4 separate regions of the Mus musculus genome follow, and regions 2, 3 and 4 are each reported to be linked to region 1. Evidence: microRNA targets listed by miRTarBase, many of them from high-throughput screens and not tested one by one. Region 1 holds a microRNA gene; each other region holds the end of a gene's coding sequence.

Region 1 (7,115 bases):
TCTCTGTATAGCAGCCCTAGCCCTGAACTCATGTAGATCTGCCTGCCTCTGCCACTCCAGTGCTGGGATTAAAGGCATGCACTACCACATGGTTAGTATTTTATTTTATTCTATGTGTATGGGTGCTCTGCCTGCAAGTATGTCTATGTGTGTAGGAACCTAAGGAGGTCAGAAGGTGTTGGATCCCTGAGAATGGAGTTACAGATGTTGTGAGCTGCCATGTGGGTGCTGGGGATCAAACTAGGACGTCTAGAGGAGCAGCCAGAGCTCTTAACCACCGAGCCATCGCTCCAGCCCCTCCACACTGTTTTTTTTTTTTTAAGATTTATTTATTACATGTAAGTACACTGTAGCTGTCTTCAGACACACCAGAAGAGGGTGTCAGATCTCGTTACAGATGGTTGTGAGCCACCACCATGTGGTTGCTGGGATTTGAACTCTGGACCTTTGGAAAAGCAATCGGGTGCTCTTACCCACTGAGCCATCTCACCAGCCCTGCTTTTATCTTTAAGATAGGGTCTCACGTAGCCCAGGTTAGCTTCAAACTTGCTATTAGGGGCTGGAGAGATAACTCTTCCACTACCTCCTAAGAACTAGGGTTACAGGCATGCGTCACCTTTTCCCTTCTAACCTGATATATTATTATAAAGTGTTTTCTAAACAGTTTCCTCTTCCTTCCTGACACAATCTGAAATGACTGCCTACTATTTGCTTACCTGGATGGTCTATAATTTAGGAAACCAGGTCTCTGGTTTTAGACCCTAAGTCTTTTTGTATTTATTCATAAAATGATTTCAGTCGTGGGGTATGGGGCTCAGTACTAGAACTGTAACGCAAGGCTGTGCACAGGTTTGGCAAGTGCTTTACCACAGAGGTACAGCTACAGCCTGCCTTCTCCTTTTAAACCAGGGTCTCACTGATTTGTCCCAGCTGGCCTCGAACTCACTCTGCAGCCTAGGTAGGCTTTTTTAACTTAGAGATCTTTCAACCCCAATTTCCCAAGTCACTAGGACTACAGGCCCTGTACTGCCAGACCTGACTAATTTGTCTTAGAAAACAAGGTCTTACAATATTAGCTGTTGGGCTGGGCGGTGGTGGTGCACTCCATTAATCCCAGCACTTGGGAGGCAGAGGCAGGCAGATTTCTGAGTTCGAGGCCAGCCTGGTCTACAGAGTGAGTTCCAGGACAGCCAGGGCTACACAGAGAAACCCTGTCTCAGAAAAACAGAAAAAAATTAGCTGTGCTGGCCTTGAACTCACGGTCTTCGTGCCTCAGCCTCCTAAAGCAGCTAGATCTGGAGCATGAAACCGCCTCCCACAGCTCAGTGACGAGTCTTCAGGATGAAGGGGAGGTTAGGTGTCTGCCATCTCAAGGAAAATCCCCGCAGCAAAGCAAGAATTGCTAAGGGAAAGGAATGCACTTTCTAGGATTTACCATACTCCGACAAACTGTCTTACAGGAGAGATGTGCCAGCTGATACCCCACCAACAGTGTGTGCACCTTCAACACTAGCCACTCCACCAACACTCTTGCTTCAAAGCATACTTGCCTGGCATATGCTAGAGCCCACATCCGCACTCAGTACCACACACTTTAGTTGCATATATGGATAGAATTAATTACTGATAATTAATTCAAAGTAATCTAGATGATGGAGGGTGGAAAAAAGACGAATTAAGCCTTCTACAAAGATTCACTCGTAAAGACAGTTGTGGTCTGAGAGTCGGCTCAGTGGTAGAATCCTCGCATACCGTGTGAGGTCCTAGGTTTAGTCTGTAGCACTGGAAGGGGTTTTTGAGGAGGAAGGACATGAGGAGGAAAGCCAGAGGAGGCACAGTTACATGTGCATATGAGCATGTCCTAATAAGACCTACTATTTTGTATACCAAACTAAAAAAATTAGTAAAAATATATTAAAAATAAAAGTCAGGCATTCTGTATGACCACATATAAGTATGTTTTTCTTTGTCATCTAATTTCCTCTTAATGTATAATTTTGTTTTTGAGACAGAGTTTTTGTGTAGCCCTGGGTGTCCTGGAACTTGCTCTGTACACCAGGCTGATCTCAAGTGCTGGGACTAAAGTCATGCTCCACCACCACCCTGCTCTTAATTTTTTTTTAAGGATTTCTGAGCTCAAGGCCAGCCTGGTCTACAAAGTGAGTTCCAGGACAGCCAGGACTATACAGAGAAACCCTGTCTCGAAAAACCAAAAAAACAAAAAGACATATTTCAAATAGGTAATGAAGCTGGGTACAGTGGCACATTTCTGTAGTCCTAGCACTTATGAAATGACAGGAGGAGAATTAGAAGCATGAGGCCAGTCTGTGTTAAAATAATTTAACTCTGTTTCAAAAACTGTGGGAAAGAGAGAGGGCAAGATAGTCCACGCCTGTTTTGGCTTGAGGGCTACCAGGGCTTATACTGGACAAAACTGCTCAGCAAGGAGCCTGAGGCTGACCTTGACTAAGGAAACCCAAAACATAAACATCCCAGCAATAGTCAGAGGGCTCAGGAGAGGGTAAGACTCAGAAAGGCAGGGAAAGTTTCCTGGTGGTATTGGTTACTCGTACCTAAGTGGTAACACTAATTGTGTTCTCTCCCTCAGGCGGGGTCCTTCTCCTCTTTCCAAAGCCGGAGGCCGGCCTGCCTGCAGGAGATTTCCCTCACGGGTTGGCTCGGGAGCAGTGTGGTCAGATTTCCTTCCCAGTAAAGAGCATGTATACTAATAGCAACTATTTTTAGCACCTGCTTTCTATATCTTTAAAATCCTGAAAGCAACTGTTCCTTGCCCATTCACCACTTACAAAACTTTCAGAGTCTAAACCAGGCATGTGGTGCGTACCTGTAATCCAGCCCTCCCCTCCCGAGGTGGAGGGAGGAAGGATCAGAAATTCATGGTCACCCCTGCCAGCCTGAGTTACACAAAACATTTAAGGGTCAAAAGACTCCCTCAAGCTGGGCAAGGTCAATCTTAGGATTCGAAACTCTTGCTGTTTGGATCTCAAGTCACTTCCCCTCAAATGTTGTCTCTTTCCTCGGGTATTCTTTATTGAGCATCCTGTCTGATTCCGCTCACTGTGGATTCTTCTATCCCTTCACATGCTTCTCTTAGATCTACCAGCCTCTGTTCAATTCTGCCTTCAGCTGACACCTGTGATCCAGGACCATTCCGCACAGGGATGTGTGCTTGTATACGAACTTGCCCTGTGTCTGTCTTCCCGAGCTGGGTCCCCTCTCTCACTAGTCTTGTCTCTCCTTGCTTATTCTGTCTTCTATCCTCCTGCCCCTGCCCAGCCCTGTCAGATGTAATGGTGCTGAGATGGTGGTGATGTAGTTAGTGCTGTCTGAGTGTTAAGCTGACTGCCTTAGTGAGGCCTCGAGGGCCTGCTGGAGGGGAAAACCAGCTCTGCTGCCAAATAGGAAGCTGGAGCCATGCTGCGGGGACAGGTGCCAGGGGGAACGATCCGCTCCGCTCCGCAGAGGTTGCCTCCTGACTCCCAGGCACACACGGGGAGGCAGCCTAAGCCCCTCTCCCAGCTCCTGGTTTCTTCTCGCAGCCACTTTGCTGCCTCCACTCTGCTAAGTAAAACCTGTCCTCTGTGCCTGAGCTCCTGGGCCTCATGGTAGGCCTTCCCTCGCCCAGATGACTCACTCTCCCTCAGTCCCTCAGCTGTACCATAAACAGGCCCAGCTGTGTCACATTCCCAGAGGGGAAAACAGCAGCTGCAGGCAGCCCCTCCCCTGGAGTTCAGGCCACTGGACAAGAATCCCCAGAGGCCATGGCCAAAAACAGTTTAGACCATCTTCCTTAGGGACCCTAAGATATCCAAAGATGTGTGCGTCTTTTCACAGGAACCCCCAGGAGAGGCAAAGACAGGATGAATGTCAGTCCTTTTTTCATATCTAAGGCCTCCTGAATCCATTCACCATGAGGGTACTCTCTGACTCTCTAATGAAGTCACAGAGCCAAGCAGTGGGTGACATTCTAGGTCTGTGGTCCTTTCAAGGAGATAAGCTTTGTCCTCAGCTGCCTGTTATATACACCCCGAGTTCAGAAAAGTCTGCATAGGCCAGGATCCAGTCCATCTCTCTTGTTCAGACTACCTACCCAGGAACTAGTCTGGACAAGTGGACTCAGTAAAGCTGAGCCATTCCCTAACTGAAACAAGCAGGCAGCCCTCAGCACATATCATGGGCCCATGCGGTCACCTTTCCGCTTCACTGGTACAGGGGTGGGGAGGGAAAACTGCCTTCTCCCTGCCACCTCCCATTCCACCTGCCAAGCCCAGATCCCTGGCGACACCCCCACTGCCTCCTGTCAACCTCTGCACATGTCATGTGCAGCAAATTTATCACGTAGAAGCCCTCTGAAAAAATGGCCAATATCCCCCAGGCTGATGGCCATCCACTGACTGCTTTGGCTTCCCAAGATATGGATGGGAATCAGAGGCTAAGTGGGCTCTGCTCTGATACCGGGAGAGTTTTACCTGCCTGGTACCTAGGCTCTCCAGGTAGGGAGGCAGATGAAATTCTACTTGGTAGAATAGGACTTCGCAGGATGGCTGCTGGCCTCACATCCGCTCACAGGGGGCTATTTGCTTCCACACCTGTCCCTCGGGTCCTTACTCACAGCAATCTAATTCCCCTGAGGTCATTTATTCCTCATGTTTAAAGCCAAACTCCAATGAATAAAATAGGGAAAGCCCACAGAGAGATTTTTCCCCCTGAACATTTTGTAACCACTCTTCCATAAGAGTTTCAGACCAGAACTCCCCATCCCGCCCACACTGACAAGGGTCAGGGTAATGAAGTGGAAAAGATATGTTCACAATTTTGGCTGCATCTGTTCCCATCTCTAAGCAACCCAGGCCCTGGATTGTGGGGTGTCGGCCCAAAGACGCCACCTCAGCCGCTGGCCGATGTTTGTGCTTCAGCTGACGGAGCGAACTAAAGGGCTGTACAAACTAGAGACATTGAGCAAACAGACCAGAGTGTGCTGACCAGATGTCCAGGGCAGGCTAAGGCTCTCCAGCACCGGTGTGTGCTTGCACCAGTGGATTGCCGTGTTCCTCCCTCTGGGATCCCCAGGCCCAGTGCTGCAAGAGACCTGAGCTAAACAGCCATGACAGTTGGATAGCCTTGGAACCTCCACACTGGAGGAAAGGACTATAGTGAGGAGGACAGAGTGTAGACTCCCAAGGCTCTGTGAGGGGGGAGGGTGGGAGGTGAGAGGTGGGGGAAGCTATGGGACACCTCCTTCTGGATTGTGAGGAAAAGGCATCTTGCCAACTTGGGGCCCCTTCTCCACCAATGAGTGTACCAGCCCACAGTCCATGCCATACAAAGCCCTCGGGCCTGAGAAAGTCCCCAATTGAAGGTTTCCCTGACAACACATTCCCCGACATTCCCAGGTTATCACAGAGCCATTCTGTTTAAAAGTCCTTATGGATTTGATTTAGGGAGTTCTAAAGGCAACCTTGAAAACTCTTTTGTCTCCAAAATGAAAACATGGACGGGAGTCACAAACAGAAAGAAAGTGCCACTGCACTGCCAGCCTGTGTGTCTGCGAGCTGGTCCTGAGGGCTCTACTTTTTTAAAGGCCCGTGCTGTGTCAGAATGAGATTCAGCTCTGCTCAGCAGAAAGCATCAGCAGCCCAGGGACATTGCCTAAGAGCCTCAGTCTGTCCTCGGTGACCCATTTCCTGTTCCCTCTCAGGGTTGACTCTCATGAGCTCTCAGGTCCCGTGAGAAGGCTCACGGGACAAAGGAATGTCCAGGGAGCTCCTCCAGCTGGGGGAGGGGTGAAGAAGGTGACTTTAAAAGTGCTTAGAGACCTAACCTGTACAACTTGGGGGTGGGAGTGTCTGCGGGAGGTACTGACCCTCTGTCCTCAGGTGGAGAGCAGTGTAGTGTCTTGGGGCCTCTAGACACAAAGTTGGCAAATGTTTTTCCATGAAGGGCCAGACGGTAAACATTTCTGTCTTTGTGGGCCATATGGTCTCTGTCATGACAGCCCAAGAGCCCCTGTGGCAGGAGCACATTCACAGACAACACATGAGCAAGCTGGCACGTTGTAGTTCAGGCAAAACCTTGTTTATAAAAAACAGGCAGACGTTTGGAGTTGGCCTGGGGTGGCAACTCATTGACCCCCAAAATATAGGTCCAAGATAAAGACGTCAGAGGACAAGCCCTATACCTCCCTTACAAGGGTGGATCCCCTCCTATCAAATGCATTACACAGTGCCTGTGTACCAACTAGCGCGCGCGCGCGCGCACACACACACACACACACACACACACACACACACACACACACACGATGACGCTGAAAGCAACCGACATTCCACAATGCCCCTGAACAGAACGTGTATGTACACTGGTTGCTTGTCTGAGTGCATATTTTTTCTGGAGCATGTTCATGGACCATACAGAAATCTCAAGGCCCTAGATAAACCCTTTACTCCTACAGAGAGATTATTTGTATTTCAAAGATAGTTTTACAAAGTATGAAGAGGAAAAAGCAATATGAAGGAAAATGAGATAAATGAAGCAATACAAAGAAGCAATTCAATAAAAAGACACACTGATGACAGTGGCCAGGGACAGGGAATACATCTGTAATCTGAGCTCTTGAGAGGGGAAAGCAGGAGGGTCAGGAGGGAAGGCCAGCCTGGGCAAAATGGTAAGTTCAAAAGCAGGCAGGGCTTATAACAATATAAAAGAGGTAAGAGAATGGATGTCTTATTAGAAAAGAAAAAGTTTATGATGTATCATTTTTTATGGTGTCAAACCGCCTAATTTTTAAAGGATGAAACATTTAAACACCCCTTTAGCCCCAGCACCTAGGAAGCAGGAACAGACTCTGTGAATTTGGAACTACCCTGGTCTACTCAGCAAATGCCAGGCCAGCCATGGCAACATTAGTGAGACTTTAAAAAAACAAAAAAATAAATAAGACAGAAGAGGACCAGCAAGAGGGCTCACTGTATAAAAAGGTATTTAATAAAAAAAGTTCATTCCCGCCGGGCAGTGGTGGCACACGCCTTTAATCCCAGCCCTTCGGAGGCAGAGGCAGGCGGATTTCAGAGTTTGAGGCCAGCCTGGTCTACAGA
Region 2 (7,115 bases), not on the chromosome of region 1:
TCCACAGGAGAGTACATTGCCCTTTACCAAAATCAGAGGGCGGTGCTGAAGGCTCGGCATTTGGAGAAGGAAGAATACATCAGCCGGCTGGCTCAGGACAAGGAGGAGATGAAGGTAGGCCTACACTTCTGTAGTCCAGGCCCTGCCTAATCTGGGCTGGGCCCTTCAAGTTGAGCTCCTTTTTCTCCAGGTGAAGCTGCTGGAGCTCCAGGAGCTGGTGTTGAGGCTTGTGAACGAGCGCAATGAATGGCAGGGCAAGTTCCTGGCCGTCTCTCAGAACCCTGGTGACGTGCTCACCCCAGTGCCCACAGGCTCCCAGGAATTTGGTGCTGCTGACCAGCAGGATGGTGAGTAGAGCTGTTGTCTCTTGGGAAGGCACAAAGGGGAGGAGTCCCATGGCGTGCAGAGCCATGACCCCCTCCCCCTTTCTCTAAAGACCTCAGGGAGGTGAGCCTGGCTGACGATATAGAGCCTGCACAAGGAGAGGCAGGGGTACCTGCTCCCCATGAGAACCCTACTGCACAGCAGATCATGCAGCTGCTGCGTGAGATCCAGAACCCCCGGGAGCGGCCAGGCCTGGGTAGCAACCCTTGCATCCCCTTTTTCTACCGTGCCGATGAGAACGACGAGGTGAAGATCATGGTTGTATAAAAGACTGGCGGCCAAAGCCTCAGCAAGGGCAGCCAGAGGTTCTGCCCCAACCCACACCCTTCCTCAGCCACCCTTATCTTTATAATAATAATAAGGTCAGACTCCATCCCCTCCAGGGGCTGGGGAAGTAGCTCAGTTGGTAGAGTGCTTGCCTGCTGTGCACACAGCCTTGGGTCCCCAGTACCTCTGAAAAGGCTGATACCTGTAATTTGAGTGCTTGGGAAGTGGAGGTGGAAGAATCAGCCATCCTCATCTACCTAGTGAGTTTGAGGCCACACTGGGCTACATGCGACCCTGTCTGAAAAAACCAAAAGATCAGGCTCCTATCTTAATGGGGGACACAGACTGGTACAGATCTGCCTCTTAGCCAGGGCAGTTTTACTTTGTAAATTCCTGTTACAGAAAGAACGCCAGAGACTCAGTGATGGAGCAGACTGTGCTGGGTGGCCTGGGGGCTTTCTCACCAAGGAGGGCCTCAGGCCTTACTCAGGACTCTGGGGCAGAACAGAGTGGCAGCATTCTCGTGCCCAGGTGCAGTGCAGGCTGGTAAACTGGCCTAGCATTCAGCAGGGCTTCTAAGTTTTCACCGGCTCAGTCCTCCCTATCCTCCTTTTCCTCCCCGCCCCCATTTTATCTTCATTTTCTTTACGGAGTGTCTCCTGTAGCCCGAGCTGAGCCCCTGCCTCACCGCTGTGCCTGGTGGTTGGCAGTGCTAAGCAGGCACTCTACCAAGTGATTTACCCCCAGCACTCCCTGCCTTTTTCCTTTGTGTGGTGATGCTGGGGATGGAACCCAGGGCACAGCAGGTCCCCAGATCAACTCCCATCTTCTCAGAGGCACTTTAGGGCAGTGGGGCTGGGCAGCACTTCATGGGTCCTCAGGCAGTTGGGGCTAACTGCCTCAGGAAGGCATCCCACTTTGGAGGGCTTCCATCTTTTTGAGGCACTTTGGGACAGGGAAAGTGGGTACCATTCTCTCAGGCCTTATGACAATTGGGGTAACTACGCCAAGCAGGACAGAGGCTGCTGGGGCAGGGTGGCCTTCCCCTCCCCCGGTGTACATATTGTACCTGTGTACTATTTTGTATATACCGGGGTAGGGACACCCCTGTATCATAGTGGAGGTTGGAGCTGGCAAATGGGAAGAGCTTCTAATAATCACTTTGGGCTGGGAACCTTATTTATTGGTAGTGTTAGGTCAGAGGGCAGGAGGCGGAGACAAGGTTGTGGCACCTGCTGATGCAGCTCCTCTTTATTTTGCTTTTTACTTGGGAAATAAATGGATTTAGCCATACTGCTGGGCCTAGGGTGTTCGTCATTGGTTCTGGGGTTAGCCTCAGGCTGGCACTGAGCAGGGAATGTGTCCTGCCTGGAGAGAGCAGGCTTCTGGCCTGTATGGAGCCCAAGGTCTGAAGTGCCTGGCAGGGCTGATTGACACCTATCACCTATACACTGCCTATTGAAGCCTAGGGACCCCAGGGGGAGTACCATGGGGCTACAGGGACAGAGCTTCCTTACTGAGTAAGAGAGTCAAGCCTGACATATAGTATACATAGGTGGGACTCGGGGTGCAGCAACTAAGGGCGCTGACTTCCAGGCCAGGCCTCTTACATTCCGACCCTTCCCCTTAGTCTGTCCACACTAGAGACCTGTTTTGTTCTTTAGGCTGTTCACAGCATCCTGGCTGAGCTCATGATACTGCCCCCTAGTGGTGTAAGCAGGATTCGTAGGATGAGGACCTGCTAAACTCACAAGCACCCTAGCAAGGGCCTTTCCTCACCCTCCATTCAGTGCCCAGTTTACACCGTCCTCTCAGCCCCAGAGAATACAAACCAGCAGAGGTACACGCAATTCCCCATGATCCAGAAATGGGTTTTATTCTCAGCCAAGAGACAGCAAGACTGGTGGCTACCAGAGAACTGCACAGCTGCTGCTGCTGCAGCATCCCCTTGCTGCAGGGTTGGGATGGCCAAGGGGATGGCTGTTCACAGGCCAGGAGGACAGGGGGGCTCACTGGAGGTGGTACACTGGAGGGGGGGTTGTCAGGATGACAGCGTTCCCTTGTTGGACCACAAGACTCCACAAGGACAGCATGGTGGTTGATTCTGACACTACAGGCGAGGCTGTGTCAGCCATATATATGTATATATATGTATATATAGGTATATTTATAGATATTTATAGAATGTCGCAGGAGCAATACCACAGAGGGGCACAAGTTTTCACCAACATCACATCTGGATGTGTCAGCTCACCACTACAACAGACTAAGTCACAGATGATGAATAGGACGCTTTGGGGCCGGGGGAGCCACTGTCAAGTCACAGAACAGCTGTCCAGGCAGGCTTGGTAAGGGAGGTCTCCGAGGAGTAGGAGGGATCTGGTTAGAGGTCGAAGGGGGGCCTGGGGCTCTCAGGACGGGACGGACTTGCCTGACCCGATCGGCTGGCAGTTGGAGAGAAAGCCGAGAGAGAACGGAAGAGAGAAAAGGAAGGAGAGCTGGTAAGGCAAGAGCAGCCACCTCCAGCAGAGGCAGGGGCTGAGGCAGGTGTGGATGTGGGCAGGGTTCCCGGAAGAGATGCACAGTTGATGAATGAAAGGGAAGATGGGGTGCTGGGCCGTAACTAGCAGGTAGTCTGAGTAGAGGCTGGTGGCCCTCTCTTGCCACACACACGGCCTCTCACACACCACCCAGGCAATGCACCACAGGGCCTCCCTCATTTTTGCTCACTGTCTCTCATCTCACTGGCTCAGGGCCACCCCAAGCCTCAGGGAGTCCCATGTAACAGCCATGAGGCCAGAAGTGCTTGAACCAGGAGATTGAAGCTAAAGGGGATGGCTGGAGGGAGCGCTGGAGGCCCCTCAGGTGGTCAGAAAGTCAGGAGTCCTCTGAGGGGACCCTGGGGAGGCTGGGAGGCAGGCAGCCGATGCCTGCGGCCACAGACTTATAAGTCTAAGAGGGGAGCCTCCGTTGGTCGGGGGGCTGCAGGTCTCGTAGGTGAGGCTGGGCCCTTCCTGCTGGGGAAAAGCAGAAGGGTGAGCGTCAATGGCTGGGGAAGAGTTGGGACAGGGTAACCGAGATCTGTGGCCAGCCAGGCAGAACTCAAGTTGACTTTCCCAGTCAGTAGACAATGCATTGCCTTCGGCTAAAAGGCACAGGTCACTCTGAAAACAGGTCAAATGTTGGAGCTGATGGGCTGGCTCTATGTCGGGGGCTGACGAGGTGGCTGTTAGCTACAGGTGTGCAATGTCAAGGATGAATGAGATCCTCACCTTGCCTGCGAGCCCTCAGGCGCTGGCAGAAAGGCAAAGGCTCTTAAGTTGTCTAAAGTCACCAGTCAGAGCCTGGCTTTGCCAGCGCGATTCTCATGCTTGCCCTGTGGTGAATTTAGTCGCCATGCTCCTAGGCTGGAAGGAGAAAGCTCTTATCTTGGCAGCATAGTTCAGAGTAGGTATGAAGAGGGGGTCCTAACGCTTCTGGCCCCTTCAGAGGCTGAAGACACCCTCTCCTAGTTCTTAGTCCCTACACTGTCAACAGTGGTCTGGTGTCTCCAGGGAGCACCCACATCTACCGTCTTGGACATGAAACCTGTTCCAAGAGCCCTCAGTTTAAGCAAGAAGGCCTTGAGTAGTGGCGCTGAGTCCCGAGGCTCACTGGAAAGGGAAGTGAGAGAGCCAGCTGGAAGAGGACAGGAAGAGGGAGTCCAGAGCTGCAGGAGAAGGAGGAGGGGCCTGGCTCAGGGGTCCCAGGTGTCCTCAGCATGGAGCTGGTGCAGCGAGGAGGGAGGGGTAGACACACTGTTCATGCAGCAGGCTGAGAGCATAACCTACCGTAGCTGACACTCCTCAGGGGTCACTGATAGTGATTCTGAAAGACAGCACGAAATCAACAGGGCAGTTCACAAACACACAGGTGGGCCAGGCTGGGGGTTAGGGGACACACACACGCACACGCCTGGGCGTGCACACACATGCTGTGAGGCCTTAAGGCCCTGCGTGCACACGTTAACACACATGCCCACAAACACGCATATATCTCCCTCCCACCTCCCAGTGCCCAGCACCATTGCCGGCCAATACGTCGTGCAGCACGGATCTGGGACATGCAGCCACTCAGCACACAGAAGCACACGCATGAGCTGTCACAACACAGAAGCTCGCCTGCACAGAGAAGGCCTTTGCACCAGCTCCCTGCACATCCAGGCCTGGTGTGCTGACAGGGTTACCATAGGGCTCCGTAAAGGACAGGGCTTGCACTTTAGGATCCAGCTGTCATTTCTTTGCTCAAGAACCTTCCATGGCTCCCTATATCATTGAGTCTCTACAAATCTCCAACCTACCCCACCCTACCATTGACCATTAGTAAAGCAGCCCACTGTCTCTGTCAATCTCACACTCCCCTGGGGAAATGTCAGGGGACACACATGTATTTAGAAGGAAACTAAAGCCCTGAGAGGGAAAATGACTTGCCTAAGGGAAGTGAACCAGCATTTCTGGACTCCCAGTCCTGTCTTAACTGTTCCAGACATTAGAGTCCCACAGAGTAAGCCCATCCCTGCCTCGTTTAGTGTATGGGGGCTAGGCCCCTAGCTCTGTCCTTCAGTCATCTAGATTCCCAGATAGATGCTTTTGGTCTATCAGATCATGTGTTCTTTCTCAGAGACCAGCCACAGTCAGCAGAAACAGGGCAGACTGAGTTGGTTACTAGAGTGAGCTTCCTGGAAGGCCAGTCATGGATAAAGAAGGCAAAGCCAAGGGATGAAGTATATTCCTTTTTCCTGGAGATCTCTAGCAGCAGGGTAGTCTTTGATCCTTGTCCCTACCCACCATCTGGTTTCAGACCACCAGACTGTTCACCATTCCTAGATCCCATCCCCAGCTGCTTTCTATCCTAGTCCGCACCTGGGTGCCGATCTCACATTCACACCCGTGTGCACGCCCACATACACATCATCACACCTTGCTTGGTCACACAGTCACAGCCTGGCCTGACACTGTGGGCCAGAGGCTGAACAGCATTCTGGGACAGCTCAAAAGAGTCAGAGCTGGGGAAAGTGGGGCATCAAGGTAGCTCTGAATGTAACTGAAGAAAACCACACGGTTCAGAAACCTAGACCTGAGTTAGGCTCACCAGGAGCTGGGCCGGGTCAGTGAAGAGTGGAATGGAGGAGGATGGAAGGCAAGGGTTTAAGAAATGCAAAGTGTGGGAGCCACAGAGAGAAAATGAAAAAAAGAGGGAAGCGCCATGCAAGTGCTGAAAAGAAGGGGGCAAGTGGTTTGAGCCCCAGAGCCCCCTTCCCAGAAACGACCACCTCCGGGACTCAGCGCCCCCTGCGGGGCAGGACCGCCTGCCCGTGGCCGCAGGTCCCTTGGCCTTGCATTACGACCCCAACGCCTAAGATGGAGAGGGTCGCTTCTGCTGCTAGGCCGAGGATCTATCCGACTCTACCTCCCTCCGGGTTACGCCCGCCTGGCGGCCTTTCCCGGGGCTTTAAGCCCCTACTCACCTGGGGACCCCAGGCGGGGCGCGGTTGGGGCGCGAGGGCACCTGGGGAGGGGGGCCAAAGGGGTCAGGGGAAGCCCCCGGCCTGGAGGGCACGGGGGGCGCCCCCCCCAGGGCGGATCCAGCAGGCGGAGGCCCAGGAGCAGGGCCCCGCGATCCGGGCCGGGCTGGGGGCACGGCGGGGGCTCGGCGCTGCGGCGTGGGGCTGGACGTGGGCGATCTACCGGCGACAAGAGCAGAAGAAGCGCGGAGCAGAGATGAGCGGCTCCGCCCCAACAGAGACCCCGCCCTCAGCCCAGGCTGTCCCCGCCCATGCAGCAAGCCCCGCCCACAGCGGCCTTAGCGTGGGAGCCTAAGCCGGATCCCCAGCGGCGCCACCCACCCTGCAGCCAGCGCTCTTGGCAAGCCCCGCCCCGCAATAAGCCCCGCCCTCTTCTAAGCTCCTCCCCTCGCTCCAGGTGGGAGCCCCCGAGACCCCGGCGCGCCACTGCCTGGTCCCGGCCCTCCTCCCGCGGGCCCCGGGTTGGGGGGCTTTGGGGCCGTGGGGGCCGGCCCTGGTACCTGCGTCCGGCCGGTACGCTCTGCACCTGCAGCCAGGAGTCGTCCACGGGCGGGGGCATGGGCGTGCTGACGGTGGTCGTGTTGATGTCGCCGATAATACTGAGCGCCTCCTTCAGTGCGTGGTACATGCGCAGCATCTCGTCGCGCCGCTGAGCCTGCTCGGCCGATTCTTCCATCAGTGTGTTCTGGTCCCCGCAAGAGTACAGGTTGGCCAGCAGCTCAGAGAAGATAAACTCCTTGGTCTGTGCACAGAGAAGGAAGGAAGGAAGCTAGAACCCGAAGACCCTGCCACCTTGTCGCAGGCCAGACCTGCTGGATCTGGGTACAGAACTGGGAGCTGGGGTTTGGTATTTCAGATGGCTACTTCTGCTTGATGCCTAAATTCGCAGGTCTCTTCAAAT
Region 3 (7,115 bases), not on the chromosome of region 1:
TGTGTGTGTGTGTGTGTGTGTCCGCGCGTCAGCATGCGTGTATGTGAATTAGTTCTTGCCTGTATTCTCATTGTCCCACCTCTTCCCTGACTTTTCCCTCCCCAGATGGCATGATCAACATTGACATGACTGGAGAGAAGAGACCCCTGGATCTCCCGTATCCGAGTAGCTTCGCTCCCATCTCTGCACCTAGAAACCAGACCTTCACTTACATGGGCAAATTCTCCATTGACCCACAGTACCCTGGTGCCAGCTGCTATCCAGAAGGTATCATCAATATTGTGAGTGCGGGCATCTTGCAAGGGGTCACCCCTCCAGCTTCAACCACAGCCTCCTCCAGCGTCACCTCCGCCTCCCCCAACCCACTGGCCACGGGACCCCTGGGTGTGTGTACCATGTCCCAGACTCAGCCTGAACTGGACCACCTCTACTCTCCGCCACCACCTCCTCCTCCTTATTCGGGCTGTACAGGAGATCTCTACCAGGATCCTTCAGCATTCTTATCGCCGCCATCCACCACTTCCACCTCCTCTCTGGCCTACCAGCCACCTCCTTCCTACCCATCCCCCAAGCCAGCTATGGACCCAGGTCTCATTCCTATGATCCCAGACTATCCTGGATTTTTTCCATCTCCGTGCCAGAGAGATCCACACGGTGCTGCTGGCCCAGATCGAAAGCCGTTTCCCTGTCCTCTGGACTCCCTGCGAGTGCCCCCTCCACTCACGCCACTCTCTACCATCCGTAATTTTACTCTGGGGGGTCCCGGTGCTGGAGTCACGGGACCAGGAGCAAGTGGAGGTGGTGAGGGACCTCGGCTGCCTGGCAGTGGGTCTGCAGCAGTGACTGCCACCCCTTATAATCCGCACCACCTGCCATTGCGGCCCATCCTGCGACCTCGAAAGTACCCTAACAGGCCCAGCAAAACGCCAGTGCACGAAAGGCCCTATCCCTGCCCAGCAGAAGGTTGTGATAGGAGGTTCTCACGCTCTGATGAGCTGACCAGGCACATCCGAATCCACACGGGCCACAAGCCCTTCCAGTGTCGGATCTGCATGCGAAACTTCAGCCGAAGTGACCACCTTACTACTCACATCCGAACCCACACCGGGGAGAAGCCCTTTGCCTGTGACTATTGTGGCCGCAAGTTTGCCAGGAGTGACGAAAGGAAGCGCCACACCAAGATCCACCTTCGGCAGAAGGAACGGAAGAGCAGTGCTCCCTCTGCACCTCCATCTGCCCAGTCTTCAGCCTCTGGTCCTGGGGGCTCGCAGGCCGGGGGCAGCCTGTGCGGTAACAGCGCCATTGGAGGACCACTGGCCTCCTGCACCTCTCGAACCAGGACACCGTGAGATGAAGCTCTGGCTGACACACCAGTTTCTCCAGGCCCCAGAGGCCCTCTGTCCGAGCTGCCAACACTACCACCCTTCCCTGTTCCTCCCCATGATCCCGTGATCTGGGCAAAGGACCTTGATGGAGCCCAGCTCTGTCCCACCTTCTCACGGACGGCCTTCCGAAAACTTAGGCCATTTGAAGGGAGTTGACTGTCACTCCAAGAAATGGGGGAGCAAAAAGAGGGCTGGGTGAGGGCCCCTGGCCTACAGGGCTGCGCTCTGACCCTGACTGAGAGATGTCTGACTATGGTCTGCTAGCCCTTTCCGTTGACCCTGGATGCCAGTTGTTCTGAGACTTTTTCTACAATAGGTTGGGAGTTGCTGATTCCTTTGATCGAGGACAGCGGAAAAGACTAAATTAAAGCAAAACTGATGTGGCACTTTAATGGCTTGGGACTGACTTGGGGGTGGGGGTGGGGAGTTGTACAGTGAGCAGAGCCTCATCCTGGCTGCTGCACTCTGGCCCTAGAGCAGTGAATGGAGGTTTCTCTGGCCATCTCAACCCTTAAGCAATATGTCCTAGAAACTCAAGAGAATGGAAGTGCAATGTCGGGCAGGACAAAGCAATATTGGCTCCTTTTTTTGTTGTAGTTGAGGAACAAAGATTATTTTTTCAGTGTATATCCATTTAGATTTTGTGTATTTTTGATGTGCACTGCTCTCCGAGTTCTGAACCTTCGGGAAAAAAATGTAAAGCATTTATGATCTCTTGAAATGAGTCAAAGGTTAACTAACTTATTTAAAGGGGGACGTACATAGGATGCATGCAGTGAGTGGTGTTGCAAGTGTCCTCTGTGCCTTGTGTGATGTGGGCAGTGTTAACAGGGTCTGCATGTGTACAGGATGCCTTACTATGGGAACAGAAAAATCACTCCTTGGGTTTAAGTATGGCTGTATATTTCTGCCTATTAATATTTGGAATTTTTTTAGAAAGTATATTTTTGTATGCTCTGTTTTGTGACTTAAAAGTGTTACCTTTGTAGCCAAATTTCAGGTGAGAATGTGCTTCAATGTCACTGCCGCTGATTTGTTTGGTTATTAGCTCTTAATAGTTGTGGAGAGAGAAACAATCTATTCTAACATAAAAAAACCACTAACTGGAGTTCAGATAATGGATGGCTTATTGACTATGGTGTAAATAAATACTTTTCAACAATATTCTGGTTGCAGAGATCATTTCTGAAGTACTTACTGGGTGGAGTTAAAATAGTTATTGACATCTGAGAACTAGGAACAAACACCGCTTTAGTGAGGGGTTAGCACAAGCCCTCCATGTTCCCTTGCTGGCCTGTGGATAACAAGCCCTACCTAGCTAGGCTTCAGGGATTTCCCGCTGAGTTAGTGAGGAAGCCTTCTGACTCACTGTTCTGTCCCCTGTAACAGCCTATAGCTTCTCTCTGCTCCTGAGTGGGCTCCGGAAAATAAATACTTACAAGCAAGTGCCCACTCAGAGATGACACCCCCCAGGGCTGCTTTCAGAACTCTGACCACGGCCTGGAACTCTGAGTTGTGGCTTTGTGGAAAGTGTGGCAGCATGGTCAAATTAGAAATGACTTTCTGAGTTCCAGGATTAATCTTACAACCACAGGAAACTTTTTCAAAGAGCTATCATTCCTTCAGATCAAACCTGCTCGGACACCGCTGATGCCAGCTGATGCCAATGAAACGGCTTCAGCAATTACCCCAGGACTCATTTCTCTCCAGTCCTGGCGTCTCAGATGGTTGCCCATGTTTGGAGGGATCATTTGTCACAAGCTTGGTGGATCTAGAAATGATTCTCAAAATAGCTTAAGATAGGTAGACACGAGGCTGTAAAACTCCAAGACAATCTAAACTTACTAGGTAAGCTGCCTCCCCCAAAACATTATAAAACTCTAAGGTTTCTTTTTTACTGGGAACATTTTATCATTTTCTTTTAAACTCAAAACCATCTGACCTACCCACTTGTGTTATGCGCGTTGGCATCTTTACTCTGAAAATCTGGACCTCAATATTTATAATGTCCACTGCTCCTTATGCAATGTAATCTGCGGGTGTAGCCACACTGCTCAGCCTCAACAGAAAACCCCTCCCTTGCTTCTGGTCCCTGTAAAGTCCCTGAGGCTGATGGCTACTAATCAAGGGCTTGCATTCTACAGTGGTGGTCACATCTTTGGCCCTTAACAGCACAAGGATAAGAGATTCAATTTATGGAGGCCACTAGTGCCCCTCCCCAGTCTCCTTCCTTTAACCCCCTTTCATGGGTATAGAAACTTCTTTCCAGAACTCCTAAATAGAAATTTCAAAACCTTTAGTGTGGGATGGTTTCCTTATAATTTCCCACTGGACTCGGGCTGTCAACTACCAAAACTATTATTGTTACTTATCCAATACTGGCAACTATAAAGCCACACCACATCGTGGTAACTTTTAAATACCTTTCTCCTGCAAAACTTTCATTATTTAAAGATAGTACACACCTAAATTTTGTAGTTTTTAGCTATCTTTAAAATTTTAATTTTGGACCACATTCAATCAAGATCACCCAAGCCAGGATTTTAAAAGCAAGACTAAACATCACTTAAAGAACAAGACAAAAAGAAGTCTCCATGCTAAAGCACACCGGTTATGTGATCAGTTCCATCCTGGTGTGGTAGCAAACCTCCCCAACAAGCCATAAGATTCAGTACACCTGAATGGTCAGAGCTACCCTTTCTGCTTCTGTCCCCAGTTACTTACATACCCGATATCTTTAACCAACTTTCTCAGTTTAAAAGCATTCAGGCCAATTCTCCTGACATTTAAAATTTTTGCCTAAGAAATCACCACAGAATGGTAAATTTGGTTCTTTTAATCCCTCCCCTGCGTCCCCCAAATGTTTCAGGTTTTGTGCAGAGAGATTCCTTAAGAGATTCATGCCAGAGATGGTTTCATTTGTATAACAAACAGCTGATGAAACCTAAATGACTTCCTCAAGCCAGGATATTTAATATCCGTATCCTAATTGTTTACGAGACCAAGGCAAATCATTTCATAAAAGTTTTCAACTGTTGGAACAATTCAGCATGTGTGTGGAGGCATGTAGATAGACTCCTAAATGCTGCCAGTCCAAATGGTAACCATGGAATTACTAAGACAAAAAAAAGAGATGAAAACACTTTAAGCCTTAAGATTTTCTTTCCTTTTAGGATAAAAATTGACTTTGTTTTTCTTGCTAGTTTCTTTAGATTAAATACAAAAGCAGCCTTTTCTGTTACAGCAAAATAGTGTAATTAGACAGTAAATACTCTCAGATGTATTTTCAGTCGGCTTGCTTCAAAGACCACTCACAAGAAAACAAACTAAGTTTATACCACTTCTTGGTCTTTGGGGGATCTGTAGGTCACTGGCTTTTGATACAATACAACCTTATGGAATAAACTGTGAGTTTTCAACAATAATTAAAATAGTAATAGTTATGTTTCCCTTCTCCACTTTGCAATAAGCAACATTATTTCTACGTAATTTTAAACATGCTTTTATTTCCCATAAGTACACACATCTTACTCAGAAACGTAAACACCCCTGCACTGTAAGACTGGGTATTGTTAAGAAATGATCTCCTTTGACAGCAGAAACCTCAGCACAATGGACCAATCTGGGTTCTGTATAACCCTACACTCTGAATTCAGGCCTGCGGTAGAGGAGCAAACGCTGTCAGGAGAGTGGCAGAGTGACGAAGTGGGGGTAACTGTCTCTCTGCTGGGCAGGACAGGAGAGCTAAAGCAGTTGACTCATTTGCCATCAGAGCAGGTAGGTTCTCCCCAGATGTCAAGTTCAAGGAACCTACAAGACAATGCAAGGATCGAGTGGGGAAGGAAAGGTGTACATTTTGACAGTCATGTTAAAAACTCAAGAGAACTCACTCCTATTAACATAGAAAACACATTACCTAAAAGGCAGGGTTTTTTTTTTGTTGTTGTTGTTTTTTAATGTAATCAGCAGCATGTGGTAGTAAACCCATCAATTCTCAAAGGAGTAGGAAGGTATGAAAATCTTACATCGATATAACTGGTCACTGATAGAACTACAAGGTTGAAAAGGTTCAGTGTATTTAGACAGACAGACAGACAGCGTCTCACTCAGGATCTAGTTATTGCATTTATTATTCATCAGAACAGTTAAGTGACTTAACACCATTGTGCTCATTGGTCTTTTCTAAGAAAAGGAGAAGGTAACTTTTATCCTAATTTCTAGACCACAATCTATATTGTAGACCTACAGGGAAACACAACGGCAGAAGTTATAGCTAATAGTTTATGCATAGACGTGCAAGGATTTTTCTGCACATTTTATCTTAGTAACGAGCATATTCTTTCTCAAGTGGCTCATTAAAACATATTACACTGTTTTCACCGTAAGTTTACTCAGTTTATTAGTGAAATGACAGTTTCACTGTTCCTATTGAACTAATGAGGAACACAGTATTGCTGTTTTAGCTCAGAACAATTTCGTTACTCTTTTGAAAAGCACCTTAGGGTTTTTTTCCTTCCAAACTGCTTATAACAAACCTTTAATATTTCTCCTCCTTCTTTTGCAATGAAGGCCTTCATAATAATTGTTATTACTAGCCCAATTCCAGGCTAGACTTCTACAGGCTCCATGAAAGGACCTCCAGAGTATGCTGTAAAGTACACATGACTCTCAACAATCCTTGTAAAGGAATCAACCTTTGCTGCAATTCAAAATCTGTATGTGGCTGAAAAACCATATTCATTATTAATATTCTATGAAAATAGTCAAATTTAAAACCATCACTTCCTATCTAGATGTTCATACGAGTGGCTCAAAGAGCTGCTTCGAGAGGCTCCAAAGGCATTTTAAAGACCATGATCAGAAAGAACTTGAACTCTAGCAGCCATGGTGGAAGTGTTTGGGTGTTGCTCATGGTTTGTCAGGTTTAAAGCAGGTTTCCACTGGCCTGTTGTTCTCATTTTTATTAAAATGAAACAAACAAACAAACAAACAAAAAGCCACAAGCCAAGCCAGCAATAATTTGCTGTCTCGTACCACTTTAATGACTGCACCGGGAAGGACACCCCTTCAGCCTGGATGTGTATCCTGGATACATGGAGCCAAAAGCAGTTTGTTTCCCTGCCAGGTCAACAAACATTTGTCACTCATGACAGTAAGTCTCCATTTATTGCCGATATTAGTATATTCTATTGCCACATGAGCCATCAAGAGAGCTTAGAAGACAGCTGGGCACATCTGATTTCTACAGTTTGTCTTTATGAAAAGGCCTGTGATAAAAAGGAACCCTACACATAGTAAACAGGGGAAACTGGTGGTCCATGGTCAGAATCGATAGACACGTCTGTAAACATGGTAAAGGGGCTGAGCCTCCGCCAGCCATAATACTGCAGCAGCGCTAGGGTTTGCTGCAGTGTTGGCATAGGGTTTAGTCTCCAATCTTGGTGCCCTAAATGGCTAAATTCTCAAGCATCTATTCCATGTATCCATTTCATATGTGTGTGTGTACATACATATGTATATGTGTATATATACATATTCATATGTTATGTATACACACACATTTATATGATGGTGTCTTATGCATCCACGGTTCCGCTCAAATTCACTATGTAGCCAAGTCTGACCTTGACTTCTGATCCTCCTGCCTATATTTCCTAAATGCTGTGTGCTACACTTGGTTTATGTGGTACTGAGGATTGAGCCCAGGGCTTCTTGCCTGCTTAGCCAGCA
Region 4 (7,099 bases), not on the chromosome of region 1:
CACACATAAACACACACAGGAAATCGACCATGATGTCAGAGAAAGTAGAGCCAAGATAAGGGGGGCGGGGTAACGGGGCACTGACTGTAGAAATCTGGCTTGGGCTGAGGGGCAAGATCCAAGAGAACTTGTGGGCAGGATTTGGGAAATGGGAAAAGGGTGCTGAATGAAAAAGAAACCAGCGTTCCCTGCCCTGCCTTCCCAGCAGCAGCTACTAGGGCCTTGAGCAGGGCTACAGATCCTATTGTCTAAAGTTGCTTCTCACACTGAGCTCCAAGCTGGAAGGGGGTCGAGAAGAGAATATGATAATACTGAATCTCCTCATAAACAAGACATGGAGCATCAGGAAAAATGCCTTGCTCAAGGCCACTCAATGAGAAGGGGCAGGCGTAAGATTCTAGGATTAATGGAATGTCTGGGAGAGGGGTGACAGAGCCGAAATGTCCTGAGGTTCCAAGGACATTTGACCTGGACTCTTGAGGCTGATTCACAGTCCCTTTTGCATTACTAGGGGCTAGGGCAGGGGACCTTGAAGCTAGGACTGCAAAAGTATTAGCTAGCTGCTAGGACCAAACAAAACAGCTGGTTCCAAAGGAGGCAGTGGCTCCAGGCTAGCAAAGAGCTTCCTTGCTGTCGATTGGTTATGTGAAGTGAGGGCTGAAGCCAATTAGCTAGACTGCCTCCCTGGACCTCTGGGAACTTGAGAGTTGGGTCTTACCATCTTCATTCTCCACCAGGCCACCCAGCCCAGCGCTCAGAGCCCAAACCCCCAGAACCAGAACCTCGTGTCCTTGAAGGGTCTCAGGCTGGAGCAGAGGTACCACCCAGCCCCGAGACACCTCGAAGCCCCACTCGGGGGGCCTACCTGCAAAGCCTGGAGCCCAGTAGCCGCCGATGGGTGCTAGGAGGGGCTAAACCACCAGAGGAGATCTCTTTGGGGCCTAGGACACCTAGCAGTGGGGAGCCTGCTGGTGAGATTTGGTACAACCCCATCCCTGAAGAAGACCCCAGACCACCCGCACCTGAGCCCTTGGGATCACAGCTAGCTTCCTCTGAGCCAGAAGGCCCCAACATCCAAGGTAAGCACAAAGTGTTATATTCACCTACAAGCATGCACAAGCCTCAAACCCTATACTCCAGGTGTTCCTAAGCCTTATTATCCTCAGCCCCGCAAGGACCATAAGATTCATACTCCAATCCCAGGCCCTGGACTCTGAAGTTTGCTCTCCCTACAGGTGCAGCCCCTACCAGCCCCCCTACCAAAACCTCCCGTACCAAGTCCCCAGGCCCTGCCAGGCGCCTCTCAATGAAGATGAAAAAGCTGCCAGAGCTCCGGCGCCGCCTAAGCCTAAGAAGTACTCGCACAGGCCGGGATAGAGAGAGGACCGCCCCAGCAGGCTCTGTCATCAGCCGCTATCACCTGGACAGCAGTGTGGGGACTCCTGGGCAGGCATCAGTGGCTGGAGGGTCTAGGAGCCCAAGGGGTGGGTACCTCAGCGATGGTGATTCGCCTGAGCGTCCTGGAGGACCACCATCACCCACTGCCTTCCGGCCCTATGAAGTGGGTCCATCGGCCCGGACTCCTCCAGCTGCCCTCTGGGGGCGTCTCAGCCTGCACCTGTATGGGCTAGGGGGTCTGCGACCAAGTCCCGGGGCTACTCCACGAGATCTCTGCTGCCTTCTCCAAGTGGATGGGGTAGCTCGGGCCCGCACAGGGCCACTTCGAAGCGGACCAGACTTCCTGAGGCTGGACCACACCTTCCACCTAGAGCTGGAGGCTGCTCGTCTGCTGCGGGCCTTGGTACTTGCATGGGACCCTGGTGTGAGGCGGCACCGGCCCTGTGCCCAGGGCACTGTGCTATTGCCAACCATCTTTCGAGGTAAGACGTGGGACTTCCAGGAAGTAAGAGCAAGAAACAAAGACCCACCTAAGGGCCTCCTGTTCTCCCATGGTGCCCATGGTGGCTGGGCTTCATGATTGAGGGGTGTTCTAGATGAGGGGAGTCAGGACACAGAAACTTTTAGGATAAAATTGCCTCAGTCCTCCTTGCATCTTTAGGGTGCCAAGCGCAACAACTGGCCGTTCGACTTGAACCCCAGGGACTTCTTTACGCCAAGCTAACATTGTCGGAACAGCAAGAAGCCCCTGCCACAGCAGAGCCCCGTGTTTTCGGGCTCCCTCTGCAGCTTCTGGTAGAACGTGAGCAGTCCCCAGGCCAGGTGCCTCTCATCATCCGAAAGTGTGTGGGGCAGATCGAATGCCGAGGGCTGCGGGTGAGCTGGCTGCCCCCACTCCTGCTGCCTTAGACATACATACTCCTTGGAACCCCTTAAACAACACTCCCTCCCCAGCATCAGGACCCACGGATCATCTGTCCTTTTTATTACAAGAGCTTAGCCCTCATGGAGCTCAGTCTTTGGAGTGAGAAAGATGATTGGACTTTCATAAATGTCAAACTAGCTGGCAGGGGGGGTTAAGAAAGGAGGTAGCCAGGGGGAGTTAAGAAAGGAGGTAGCCTATCACTAACTCTCTTTAGTTTTTAAAAACATATTATTTGCTTGGTATGGAATATGTGTGCATCTGTGTGTACCACACCACAGTGCAGATATGGAGATAAAATAGTTGGTTCTCTCCTTCCATCATGTGGGTCCTAAGGATCAAACTCAGGTTGTCCAGCTAGTGGCAAAAATGCCCTTAGCCTCTAAAAAAAGAAAGAAAGAAAGAAAGAAAGAAAGAAAGAAAGAAAGAAAGAAAGAAAGAAAGAAAGAAAGAAAGGAGGTAGCCTAGTGTGGTGGCACCTGTCGAAAAAAAGAAAGGAAGGAAGGAAGGAAGGAAGGAAGGAAGGAAGGAAGGAAGGAAGGAAGGGGAGAGAGAGAGAGAAGGAAAGGAAAGGAAAGGAAAGGAAAGGAAAGGAAAGGAAAGGAAAGGAAAGGAAAGGAAAGGAAAGGAAAGGAAAGGAAAGGAAAGGAAAGGAAAGAAGCAGTAAGGAGGGGAGGGTATAGGACAGCTTAAAGCGGGCCCTCACTTCCTGACTTGCTTGGGTTAGTGTGAGAAGGCTTCCTGGAAGATGTGAACTGTGAAGTCAGAGGAAAGAGACTCTAGACAAGTGGTCCAACCTTGGGGAATTTAGAAAGCTAGGTTATGTGTCTCTGGTTTTGTTTTATTCCTAGTGCTGGGGATTGAACATAGGCCCTCATACTTGCTCAGCAAGCACTTTACTGTTGAGCTACACCCTCAGCCTTCATTTTATTTTTTGAGACAGGGTTTCACCAAGTTACCTAGGCTTACCTTGAACACACACTATATTATAGCCTAAGTGACCCTCCTGCCTTGGCCTCAGAGTGCTGAAGTACTAGGCCTGGCTCAGGGCCCCTGTGACAGCAATGGGAAGGCAGCCAGTGAAGATGCATGTGAATGGCCCTACCCTCCCAGGCCATCACATCCACAGTCACCCTTGTCCAAATATCCAGGCTTTGCTGTCTTATGGCCCTCCAGGAAGACGTTCTTTCTCTTTATCCCCAGGTAGTGGGGCTGTACCGTCTGTGTGGCTCAGCAGCAGTGAAGAAAGAGCTTCGAGATGCCTTTGAGCAGGACAGTGCGGCTGTGTGCCTCTCTGAAGATGTGTACCCTGATATCAATGTCATCACAGGTCAGCCATTTCTCCACTGCCTGCTCACTTCTTTCAGTTGTCACCTCCAGGCTGCTCTGGAGGCCTCCTGTGAACCCTCCTCTCTCCTGTCTGATCCTATTTTCATTTCTTATACCTGCCCTCTTCTCACTACCACTGTCAGCCCCAGTGACCCCTCCTCTGGCTTCAGAAGCCAGGGTACCTTAACCAGAGAGAACCCCTCTGTCCACAGGCATCCTCAAGGATTATCTTCGAGAACTGCCTACTCCACTCATCACCCAGCCCCTCTACCAGGTGGTGCTGGAAGCCATGGCCCAAGGACACCCAAGCAGGGCTTCCCTGGGTCCTGAGGGCACCAGAGGGCTCCTCAGATGCCTGCCAGATGTGGAGAGGGTGAGTCGGCCATGCTAGGAACTTTGGCTCATAGAGCAGCTAATACCAGTGTAGTGCTTTAAGCATGCCTAAGATGTAATCATCATACATGATCATCAATGCCAACAAGTACTTGATATTCATCTGTCAATTCCTGGGTTAAAAAAAAAAAAATCAAGGCTCAGTTTGGTGATTTGCCTGAGGTCAAACAGCCAGATCTGTCCAAACACAGGCTCTATCCAGGCACGGTGTTACACGCCTCTACTCCTAGCACTCAAGAGTCAAAAGCAAGAGGATTTCTAGTTGGAGGCCAGCCTGAGCCACATAGCCACTTCCAAGCCAGACTGGGCTGCCTAGCAAACTGAGCAAACAGATCTGCCAACCTAACACAAGCAAAAATACTGGCTGTGAGATCTTAGAAAAGTCCTTGAAATTGCCAAACACGGCATGGGTTGGAGTTCAAACCCTTCCATTCCAAAGCTAAATTGCTTTTGGTCTTAATCTCAACTTTGGCAAAATGCATTCCTAATACTAACCCCTCCCCTCTGGCTATGAGAACTTGAACTGAAGTGCCTCCACTCTAAGCCACCCCTGACTATCCTGCAAGTGCCACAAGGGTTCAGGTTTGCCCGCCTCGTGCCCACCCTAGCAACTCTCTCCACAGGCCACCCTGACGCTTCTTCTGGACCATCTGCGCCTTGTCTCTTCCTTCCACACCCACAACCGCATGACCCCGCAGAACTTGGCAGTGTGCTTCGGACCAGTGTTGCTACCAGCGAGACAAACACCCTCTCGGCCCCGGCTCCGTAGCTCTGGCCCAGGAGTCACCAGTGCTGTGGACTTCAAGCGCCACATTGAAGTCCTGCATTACCTGTTACAGTCTTGGCCAGGTGAACACCGCCCATCCCAGTCAGCCTCCCTTACACATTTATGCTTCCCTACTGACCAATCATGGGTTGGAATCTAAGGAGGGTCATGAGTGAGTTAAATTTGTAAGCTTGCCTCTCAAAAGGCCAATCAGGGACCACTCCCTTGTATCACAACTTATCCTCCTTTTGGACCCCGCAGATACCAGACGGCCCTCAGATACCCCAGATGGCGCAGTCGCACCGTATTTGAGGCCCAAAAGACAGCCACCTCTGCACTTGCCGCTGGCGGGCCCAGAAGTGGTGACTCGGCCTCGGGGCCGCGGAGGCCCCGAAAGTCCCCCAAGCAACCGCTATGCAGGCGACTGGAGTGTGTGCGGAGGCGATTTACTGCCCTGTGGGCGGGACTTCCTGTCCGGGCCTGACTATGACCATGTGACAGGCAGCGACAGTGAGGAAGATGATGATGAGACTGGAGAGCCGAGGGGCACTACCGACTTCGAAGATGAGTTTGATGCACCCTTCAACCCACACCTGAATCTCAAAGACTTTGATGCCCTCATCCTGGATCTGGAGAGAGAACTCTCCAAGCAGATCAATGTGTGCCTCTGAGCCCTCAAAGCAGGGGATGGACTCTGGTTACTAAGGAATTGCTTCCTGGTTGCTAAGGACCAGGTTCTGATTACTGGTGACTGGGTTCCAAGTTACTAAGGCCCTGATGACCTAAAAGGACCTGACCAGAGTTGCTCAGACTGAGCACCTGGTTGCTAGGGAGTTGCCAAGGGGCCAGCCTTCCATGCTAAAAAAATCATTCCCAATTCCTAGTGCCATTGTTTGGGGCCCTAGCTGCAGAAACCAGGCTCTTGGCATTTTCAGCACTGATGCCATGGCCCCTCTCCCGAGCATTGGGGCTTCTCTTGCTGCCAGAAACAGTTCTGCTTGCTAGGCTGGCCTCTCTTGCCTCCCCTTTGCAGGGGAACACCAATTACTGTGAGCATCACCCTGGGGTGTTAAAACATCCCTAGTCAACCCTCTTGCTGCTGCCAACCAAACCAGTATTAGCATTGAGCACTACACTCTCTCTCCCTCCCTTGAAGTATCTAAAGGCAATCATGGGATTCTACTTAAGGGAAACAGCACCAGACTCTGCCTCTACCTGTGAAAAGGTGGCCTGGAGCTTAGAGAGAAACAGGTGATTTCCCCTAACCCTCTCTTCTAGCAAAAACTCCGAGATGAATTTCCAACCAGCAAATGGAGACAGAGTCAGACCTTTCCTTTCCCCAGCAGCCCTTCCCCACCCTTGAAAAACTGAGCACTTAACTCCTCCCCTTTTGGAGGGACCCCACCTGAGGTATCAGGCTGGGGGATCTTTGGTACGGAAAATATTTATTGCCTCCATGCATGTGTGTCTGTGTGTGAGGATTCGTGTGCACTGGCCTGTGTGGAATGGATATGTGGAACTCTTTCAGGGACCATAGAGTGGGATAGGATTTTCCATTGCCTGGCACCCCAAAATCTTCCAATGGTGACAGAGTTAGGGCCCCTTCCTGTCTCCCACTTCTTTCCACCACTTCCATCTTTGTGAACAGTAAATAAACCAGTATACACAGATTCTGTGACTGAGTCCTTGGGCTCATATAGCCAAGAGATTTATTAATTTTGTAAGAGAGAGGGTACAGCTGAACCTTTTGGAAAGAGCTACCCAGGGTTGCCAAGGTGCCTCTTTGAGCTTTGGTTCCCCACCCCCACATTCCCCACTTAGAGGGTTAGACCTTATGAGACAAGCTCAGGACAGGCAAGGATGAAAACTCCAGGTAGACAAAGTCCTGGTCCAAAGAGGCAAGCACACTAACCCTGGATAGTCCCTATACAGAAATGGAGCCATCTCGGAAGTCTGTCCTCCCAATCAGGATGTTGACCACAACTGCATGACCATCCTGGCACAGCTGCTGGCCTTCACGAAGTACCTTGACCACTTGATCCTTATTGTCCCGTGAGAGTATCAATCCCTGGGCCCCCAGGCCCATGGCTGCCTTGTGATAATCTAAAAGAAAATATGTCAGGCCATAGCAGAGACACCCAGAGAGTTAACAGAAGCCCAGCTGGGCCCAAAACACCATGACACCTCACCAGTGTAAGCCAGGCTACAGGCTACATCACTGCCCAACCTGGGCACCTGCTCTCGAGAAATCTGGGTCCAACCTGCATCGTTTCCTACCAAGGCTATCACTG

Evidence for each region. Region 1 holds the annotated microRNA mmu-miR-3971 (CUCCCCACCCCUGUACCAGUGA, at 4,222-4,243, opposite strand). A microRNA usually pairs through its seed, bases 2 to 8, with sites in the 3' UTR of a target mRNA and lowers its output. Matches are read on the target gene's strand: a 7mer-m8 pairs with bases 2 to 8, a 7mer-A1 pairs with bases 2 to 7 and ends in A, and an 8mer does both.
Region 2: the mRNA of Golga2 is a reported target of mmu-miR-3971. Seed matches in the 3' UTR shown: 7mer-A1 at 772-778.
Region 3: miRTarBase lists Egr2 as a target of mmu-miR-3971. Seed matches in the 3' UTR shown: 7mer-m8 at 1,805-1,811.
Region 4: miRTarBase lists Ilvbl as a target of mmu-miR-3971. Seed matches in the 3' UTR shown: 8mer at 6,618-6,625 and 8mer at 6,603-6,610.

Annotation. Positions count from the first base shown.
Region 1 is chr11:75,548,608-75,555,722 of GRCm38, reverse strand. It overlaps Mir3971 (microRNA 3971), which reads right to left and starts at 4,294; the gene lies at 4,212-4,294. All of the region lies in intron 5 of Slc43a2 (solute carrier family 43, member 2), which reads right to left.
Region 2 is chr2:32,305,970-32,313,084 of GRCm38, forward strand. It overlaps Golga2 (golgi autoantigen, golgin subfamily a, 2), which reads left to right. Exons shown (of 26, transcript NM_001080968.2): 24 at 8-114; 25 at 191-347; 26 at 437-1,944. The coding sequence ends at 651. It overlaps Dnm1 (dynamin 1), which reads right to left. Exons shown (of 23, transcript NM_001301737.1): 20 at 6,715-6,956; 21 at 6,158-6,373; 22 at 4,482-4,518; 23 at 2,502-3,095. The coding sequence ends at 4,497. Among named protein-coding and RNA genes, the nearest start is that of Gm23363, 8.7 kb to the right of the region's middle.
Region 3 is chr10:67,539,640-67,546,754 of GRCm38, forward strand. Egr2 (early growth response 2) reads left to right here. Exons shown (of 4, transcript NM_001373983.1): 4 at 106-2,549. The coding sequence ends at 1,349. It overlaps Ado (2-aminoethanethiol (cysteamine) dioxygenase), which reads right to left. Exons shown (of 1, transcript NM_001005419.2): 1 at 4,872-7,115. Among named protein-coding and RNA genes, the nearest start is that of Ado, 5.8 kb to the right of the region's middle.
Region 4 is chr10:78,583,882-78,590,980 of GRCm38, reverse strand. Ilvbl (ilvB (bacterial acetolactate synthase)-like) reads right to left here. Exons shown (of 15, transcript NM_001359302.1): 14 at 6,998-7,099; 15 at 6,479-6,911. The coding sequence ends at 6,733. Syde1 (synapse defective 1, Rho GTPase, homolog 1 (C. elegans)) reads left to right here. Exons shown (of 8, transcript NM_027875.1): 2 at 738-1,079; 3 at 1,236-1,880; 4 at 2,060-2,274; 5 at 3,524-3,650; 6 at 3,862-4,022; 7 at 4,666-4,891; 8 at 5,070-6,478. The coding sequence ends at 5,479. Among named protein-coding and RNA genes, the nearest start is that of Syde1, 4.5 kb to the left of the region's middle.